2 linked regions of the Diceros bicornis minor genome follow. The protein of the gene in region 1 binds, or shares a complex with, the protein of each later gene. Links are inferred from orthologs where the notes say so. Each region holds a gene or a part of one and is shown on either strand. Other genes may lie near its edges.

The links. The genes of interacting proteins can lie anywhere in the genome.
Region 2: CRNKL1 (region 1) and RBMX2 share a complex: the UniProt entries of both Homo sapiens proteins name them as parts of the minor spliceosome. The link is inferred for Diceros bicornis minor from reciprocal best matches to the Homo sapiens genes CRNKL1 and RBMX2.

The regions. Positions count from the first base shown.
Region 1 is NC_080758.1:46,552,243-46,555,994, forward strand, and holds the start of CRNKL1 (crooked neck-like protein 1), read right to left. Parts: upstream 2,356-3,752; 5' UTR 2,256-2,355; coding exon 2,205-2,255; intron 304-2,204; coding exon 151-303; intron 1-150. UniProt on the Homo sapiens protein: Involved in pre-mRNA splicing process. As a component of the minor spliceosome, involved in the splicing of U12-type introns in pre-mRNAs.
Region 2 is NC_080781.1:119,060,159-119,063,910, reverse strand, and holds the start of RBMX2 (RNA-binding motif protein, X-linked 2), read right to left. Parts: upstream 2,701-3,752; coding exon 2,694-2,700; intron 1,811-2,693; coding exon 1,776-1,810; intron 1-1,775. UniProt on the Homo sapiens protein: Involved in pre-mRNA splicing as component of the activated spliceosome. As a component of the minor spliceosome, involved in the splicing of U12-type introns in pre-mRNAs.

The sequences.
Region 1 (3,752 bases):
TCTGGTAACCAGAAGTTATATTATGCATGTGGCTAGAAACACTAACCCCTTCTTATTTTATAGTCTCTCTAACCAGTGAGGAACTTTTCAAACTCTGACCTATAAATTCTTAACAATATTAATAGACTAAAAGATATCACATTGACGGACCTTCCTTTTCCTTAGTTTATAATCATTTAACTCTTCTTCATCTGTGATCTTCTGTTGAGGTGGAGGTGGGAGAAGCTCAAGTTCTCTTTCTTTAGCTTCTCTTAAGAGTTGTTCTGCAGTTATCTGTACCTCAGCCGGGGCTTTGTTTTTCACCTTTTAAGACAGAAGACATTTCTATTTTTAGCAGATGATCTTCACACAAGGTTTAGGAAACAAACATTTCTTAGGATGTGAATTTTATAAGTATTATTACAAGATGCCCTTTTTGTATGACATGTTCCCATTTCTCTACGAAACTAAATAGAAAAAAAATTATGTTTTCTATCTTATGCATGGTATTTATTACAAAGCCATGGGTAAAAGTCTTAAGAGAAAAGGTAGCAAAAATAGCAAGTTTTCCCTTTTAGATTAGTATAATAATAAACTTTGAGACTGCCTAGGTACAACTGTCACCAGAGGTTTTGTTTTATCAAGATGTATACCATTTTTTATCTAGCATTACAACCTCTATTTACAGAATTCTTCAACTTATGCCCCACATGGTTAATTGTACTTGGTTTTTCATGGCATTCCAAGTCAAAGACAATATTCAGTAAGTTCCCATCATTAGACTGTAAGCTTCTTGAGGTCTTAGAGCTGTGCTGTCCAGTATAGTAGCCATGAGCCACATGTGGTGAGTCCAAATTGAGATGGGCTGTAAGTGTAAAATTCATAGTGGATTTTGAAGACTTAGTATGAAAAAAAGAATAAACTACCTAATTAAAATTTTTAATATTGATAACATGTTGAAATGACAATATCTTGGATACACTGGGTTAAATAAGATATGTAATTAAAATTAATGTCACCTGTTTTGACTTTTGTGTGTGTGTGTGTGTGTGTGTGTGTGTGTGTGGTGTGTGTGTGTGTGTGTGTGTGTGGGAGGAAGGCTGTTCCTGAGCTAACATCAGGGTCAACCTTCCTCTATTTTTTGTATGTGGGATGCCTGCCACAGCATGGCCTGATGAGCAGTGTGTAGGTCCGCGCTCGGGATCTGAACCTGCAAACCCCGGGCTACCAAAGTGGAGTACACTCACTTAACCACTCTGCCACAGGGCTGGCCCGTTTTGACTTTTTAATGTAGCTATGAGAAAACAAAATTACATATGTGACTCACACCATATTTCCATTGGACCAGTGGTGCCCAATACAAGTTTATGTAACTGAATTATAAAAAACATTAATTATTTAATGCCATGTGTAGAATAATGATGATGATAATGATGACAGCTCATATCTAATGTGCATTAACGGCCAGACACTATGCTATGTGCTTTAGATGCATCATCTCTGGGAGTCATCCAAATGGATATGTAAAGGACAAGCTCAAGAGAGCCCTCTGGGCTGGAGAAACAGACTGGAGGAAGAGTATCTGTAAAGGCTCAGGACAAAGCCTGTCACCTATTAGCCACTCGGTAAGTATCAGCTACGGATGCAAATATCAGATAATATCAAATTTATTGTTTAATGAACTTAAATTATGCCTCTACATAACTCTTGTCATCTACTCTCATTCCGTCCACTCTCAGCTGGGTTAACTCCTACTCAGCCTTCAAGTCTCGGCTTAAATGTCACTTCCTCAGCAAAATGTACTCTGGAGACCCCCTCACACAACTTTCATTATTCCACGGCCTACTCTACTTTGCCTCAGTAGCACTTGGTAAGGCTGCAATTTTACACTTACTCGTGTCTTAAATTTGAGTACTGCTCGTGGCCCGCATTAAAGCGTAGCTCCCCAGCGCCGAGCGCACTGCGTTTCTCGGTTCATGTTTGCTAAATGACCCCAATCCTCCGTCCGCAAACACAACTCCCCAGAACGAAGGCCATGCGGGTTGCTCCGTGGTGACAAGAGCCTGCGGCCCACCGCCGGCTGACCCTTCCTCTCCTTCTCTCCCTCGGCCCCGCACCGGGTGGGCCTGCGCCCGGGACAACACTCTCCCGCCCCGGGCACCACGGGGGTTCAGGCAAGCCCCTCTCCCAGGCCTCCTCTCACAAGGCCCCTCGCTATCGCCTACCTTGGCCACTTTGGGAATCCTCTGCTTCCCAGCCGCGGTGGAGGCCGCCATGGCTGCAGCAGCAGACCTCGGGCGACCCCTGGACCCCAGAAACCAGCCCCCAAAACTCAACGACTCTCCAAAGCTTTCTGACAACAAACTGGAGCCTGGAACCGGAAGCGGAACTGACTGGGGGTGACCTTTGACCTCCAGCACGCACCGTGACGGAGGCAGCGTCGTTTCCGTGGTAACCGAGCTGCGCGTCCTCCTTGGAGCCGGGGGTGGAGCGCCGCGTCCGGGAATTGCGGTTGAGGTAGGTAGCGCTGGCCTGCCCTGCAGGGACACTCTTACAGGGTCTAGGGCGTCAGGGGCGCGTCCCCAGGTCAGTCTCCAGGACTGGGATGACCGTGCGAGGACGGGTGTATCTGTCGAGCTGTGGCGCCCGGCAAAGGGAGTGGGAACCAAGCTCCGGGCCGGATGCTCGAGGGCTGGCGAAGATCGGCAGGCCAGAAAACTAGCATTCCCAGCATGCTGAGGGGGCAAGGTGCTGCGCTCCTAGGCGGCCGGCGCTGCGTTGCATTCTAGGCTTTGTAGTCTCTGAGGTCCACTCCCCTTCTGCACACTTGTGCTCTAATAATTAACTCTAAGGTTTGTGATTAAAAATAACGGACGGTGTTTTAAAACCAGATAATAGGGAAAAAAAATAAGTCAGCAGAGTACTAGCAAACCAGCCAGACTTGTGGTCGGATAAACAGATGTTTAAATTCTGAGTGCCTTAATTATGTAAATTCTCTTGGCCTCAATGTCCTTAACTGTAAGACGAGGGTAATAATATCCATTTCACCAGGATTAAAGAGAAAACCTATGTAAAGTGCTCAGTAAATTTTAGCTGGTGTAATTCTTGTCCTGCCTACAGAAACAGAAAAATTAATTATCTGCAAGCAAATGGTTAAGAGAAAAAAAAAAAAGTCTTTATTTTTTAGAGCAGTTTTAGGTTCACAGCAAAATTGAGTGAAAGGTTCACAGAATTTTGTATTTCCCCAGCACCCCCCCACACCCTCCCAACTCCCACAGCCTCCCCACTATCAACATCCCCCACCACAGTGGTACATTTGTTATAGTCGATAAACCTACATTGACACGTTGTTATCACCCAAAGTTTGTAGTTTATGTTAGGGTTCACTCTCCGTGCTATGCATTCTATGGGATTTGACAAATAATATAATAACATTGATTCACCATTAGAGTATGGTAAAGAATAGTTTCACTGCCCTAAAAATCCTCCGTAGTCTGCCTGTTCATCCTTCCCCCCACCCCTTTGCCCCCTGCAATGACTGATTTTTTTTTATGATCTCCGTAGTTTTTTGCCTTTCCAGAATCATATCATTGGAATCATGTAGTATGTTGACTTTTCAGATTGGCTCCTTTCACTTAGTAGTATGCATTTAAGCTTCCTCCATGTCTTACATGTCTTGATAGCTCATTGATTAAGAGAATTCTGACAGCTGCAAGTCTCTTTTGGTGTTTGGAAGAAATATATTTATATGTTTAGGTATGTAGAAATATGAT
Region 2 (3,752 bases), on another chromosome or scaffold:
TTCTCACAACAACCCTGAGGTAGATATTATTATCCCCATTTTGCAGGTGAGGAAACTGAGGCACAGAGAGGTTAAGTCTCTTGCCCTAGGTCACACAGCTGGTAAATGGTAGAGCCAGGATTTGGATCCAGGTAGTGTGGCTCCGAAGTCTGCACCCTTAGCCACTATGCACAGGATAAGTGGGAGCAAATCAGGCAAGGCCATGTTGGGTAGCAACTTTGGATTTTACTCAATGTGAGGTGAGAAGCCACCAAAGGATTTTAATCTGATTTACATTTTAGCGGGATCACCTTGGCTACAGACTGGGTGGGGTGGGGAGCGGGAGGGAGTGTGTAGGGTAGAAGCAGGAAGACTAGTTAGGAAGATCTGCAGTAATTCAGGCAAGAGACAATGGTGGTTTGCCTCAGGATGATAGCAAAGGAGGTGGTGTTCCATGCCGGTATTTTTTTAAGATAAAAATATATTAAAAAAATATATAAGAACACACATGACACCAACATAAACGCATATCCTGTGTTTGTGAGTGTTCAGGCACTGGGCTAGATGCTTGAGATACTATAGTGAACAAGACCACAGGACCTAGTCCCTGTTCTTGAGTACCTCACAATGTTGCCAGGCAGTTACATATATGAATATAATACAAAGGGATGAGTGTCATAAGGAAGGTATGAGTGAAATGCTATGGGTACCAGGAGAGGAATCGATTAATTCTGACTACTGGGGATCAGAAGGGGGGTGGTGGTGGAAAGCTGATTGTCAGAGAAAGCTACAGAAATGGAGGTGACAGTTGAGCTGGGTCTTGACAGCAGTCACCATGTAGATGGAAGACGGGATGGGTGTTGTACAGAAAGAGCATTTCGAGCAGAAGAACCAGCAGAACCACCAAAGGTAAAGGAATCAAAGCATCAAAAGTATATGTTGTGACCAGGGGATGGGTTGGGGCAGGGCATCCCATGAAGATGGAAGAGGCCATTTTGTGAAGGGCCTTGTAGGTGAAGCCAAGAAGTTCAGATTTCAGCCTGTTGGCAATGAGAAATGATCATACGGCTCAATCATTCAGTCATTCAGCCAACCAACAAGGCAGCCACTTTTGTTGAAGACCTGCTATATGCAGACACTGCATTCGGTGCTGACAGTACAAAGGTGAACATGCTCAGTCTGGAGGGAAAACACGATGTGAAAAAACAGACGATCTGAGTATGCTCCCTTAACCCTGGGAATGAAATGGTCAATTTTATTTTGGAACAAGTATGGAGGATGGATTGAAGGCATTCAAGCCTTAATGTCGGGGGACCAGTTGGCTGTGATGGGCAGGACCAAAGCCAACAGATTTCAGTGGCACAACATGTTGACTAAAATAGATGTGCTTAGTGAGGAAACATCTGAGGATGACGCTTATGTTTCTGGTTTGAGAGACTACCTGGGTAGTGACACTCTGCCAAAGTAAGAAAGGCAAGGAAGAAGACTGGTTTGGGAGGAAACTGATGAATTCAGTTGGCAAACTGTTGAGTCAAAAGTGCCTGAGGAACCAACAAAGGAGACCGAAGAGGAGGATGACAGATGAAGATGAAGCAGCAGGAAAAAGTAGGATTCAAGAAGAGAGCAAAAGGTGGTCAACATTGTCAAACACTGCAGAAAAGTTCTTTTGGAAGAAGCACCTTTAATTTTCCAGTGTTTTCACCCACTTATTTCTCCTGATCCAAAAGAATGTCACCGTCAGGAAAGTCGACTTGAGAGGACCTATAAATCTAACCAGCATGCCATCCTGTACTTACCTGCTCCCCCACTGGAAACTTAGGGATAATGCTGTCTGATGGAAGCAAAACAGAAGCCTAAAAGGGTGGATGTGGGCCACATTTTCCTTGAGTTGAAGATTAAATTTATTTAATTAAATGTATTTGTTTAAAAGATCTGTCCCTTAATTGTAGGTTACTTGGAGAAATAAAGGGAATAAGAAATGATGCACTGTGTTAACAGAGGGTCTTATCATCTCTTCCAGAGATATTAACCCGAATCCATGCATGGGCTTCAGGGAGCCTATGAAGACCCTGAATTTGTTTGTACGATGTGTATGTACATGAACATGAACATGTGTGTTTTTTAGGAGAAGGTTCCGTAGCTTCCATCAGATTCTAAAAAGTGTTCATGGTTCAAAAACAACAGGTAAGAACCACTGCCTTAGACCGTCTAAGGATTATCTGTGACTGCTGTCATCCATAGCTAATTGAGCGCAGTTTGCAAAGCTTAGCGAGAAGCTGTTGCAGGAGGACGGGCACGAGTCATGTAAGTCAGATACTGACGAATTGGAAGCACAGTGAACCCGCACTGGCTCCCCACCAGCTTGGCACAGCTTGCTCATAGCAATCTGACATTTAGGTAGAATCTTGAGGAGCTGGACAGAGAATTCCAAACTCTTGAGAAGGAGGAGTCCAAGTTGCTTCCAGGGGTGAGGATGCTTTCTAGAAAACACACAACAGATGTCCTTTTACCACCTGGCTGTCATTGTTCACCCTTCCTCCACTGCCCAGGCCAAAGCACCAGCATTCCACACCTCAAGCCGCACAAACTTCGGAAGCTGCCTAAGTTTTTGATGAGCTGACTTAAAAAGCAGAATCCAGTTCCAGGGAAGAAAGGGAGAGAGTAGAGAAGAAATTGCTGAGGAAGTAGATGGCTCTGGTCCAAGTGGAGCCCACCTATCATCGCGAATCACATTTACTCTGAATTCATAATGTGAAATCCCCATTGGCGTGCTAAGGAGCATGCATGCTGAACTGAACTGAACGGGACAATGAGACCACGTGTGATGAGGCGTAGAACTGGACCAATCTAACTGGAGATGAATGGAAAAGCATTTTTGAAGGATGACAGGAGCCTGCCTAGAGCAGGAGTTCCAAAATGGTCATCACAATTTACTAAGCAGGTAAATACAGAGTAGGCACTTGATAAACCACTGACTACTGCCCCACCCCCTATCCTCCAAAAGACTCCTTGCGTGGTTGGCTTTTACCCTCCTCTCAGTCATTTTCACTGTTCTGAGTCAGACTTTTTCTGGGGTGTTCTGTTGCTGAGCCAGATCATAGAATGGCATATTGACATCAAGGTGAAGAAGCCAGTTAGCAGGAGTGCCAGGTGAAACACTGATCCAGGGAATAGAAGACAGTCTGCAGATTAGGGAAAGGACTGGGTGGGCCATGGGGCAGAGAAGCCGGATAACCGAGACACATCACTGAAAAGACTAGAGCAGATGGGTGATCAGAGAGAGAAGCTGAAAGGCAAGCAAAGCCCTCAGAGATGAAGCACAAGGCGGGCCTGTCTTGGCTCAAGTCACAGTGACGTTGCATGTAGCTGGCAGCATTCTTCTTTTGCATGGCGAGGGCTGGCATCTCTCATGATGTTGGGCACAGGTTTTCAATGCCATAGGATGATGCCACATAGCTTTCACTCTATCGCTGGTCAGCAACTTACCTTCTGGAGAGACCAGGTGGCATAGTTAGAAGAATATAGACTCTGAGGCTTGGCAGACCTAAGCTCAAATCCCAGTTCCACCGTTTGCTAGCTGTAAAACCTTGGGCAATTTAATTGGCTTCAATTAACTTCTTTGTGCATTGGTGATAATATCACCTCAGAGGGATGTTGTGAGGGTTAAATGAGATCATGCATGTAAAGTGTGTGTGATAAGAAGTAGGTATTACTAATATTAACAATAATCTTCTTCTCAGGTTCCAAATACCCACAGCCATTGTTACAACCAC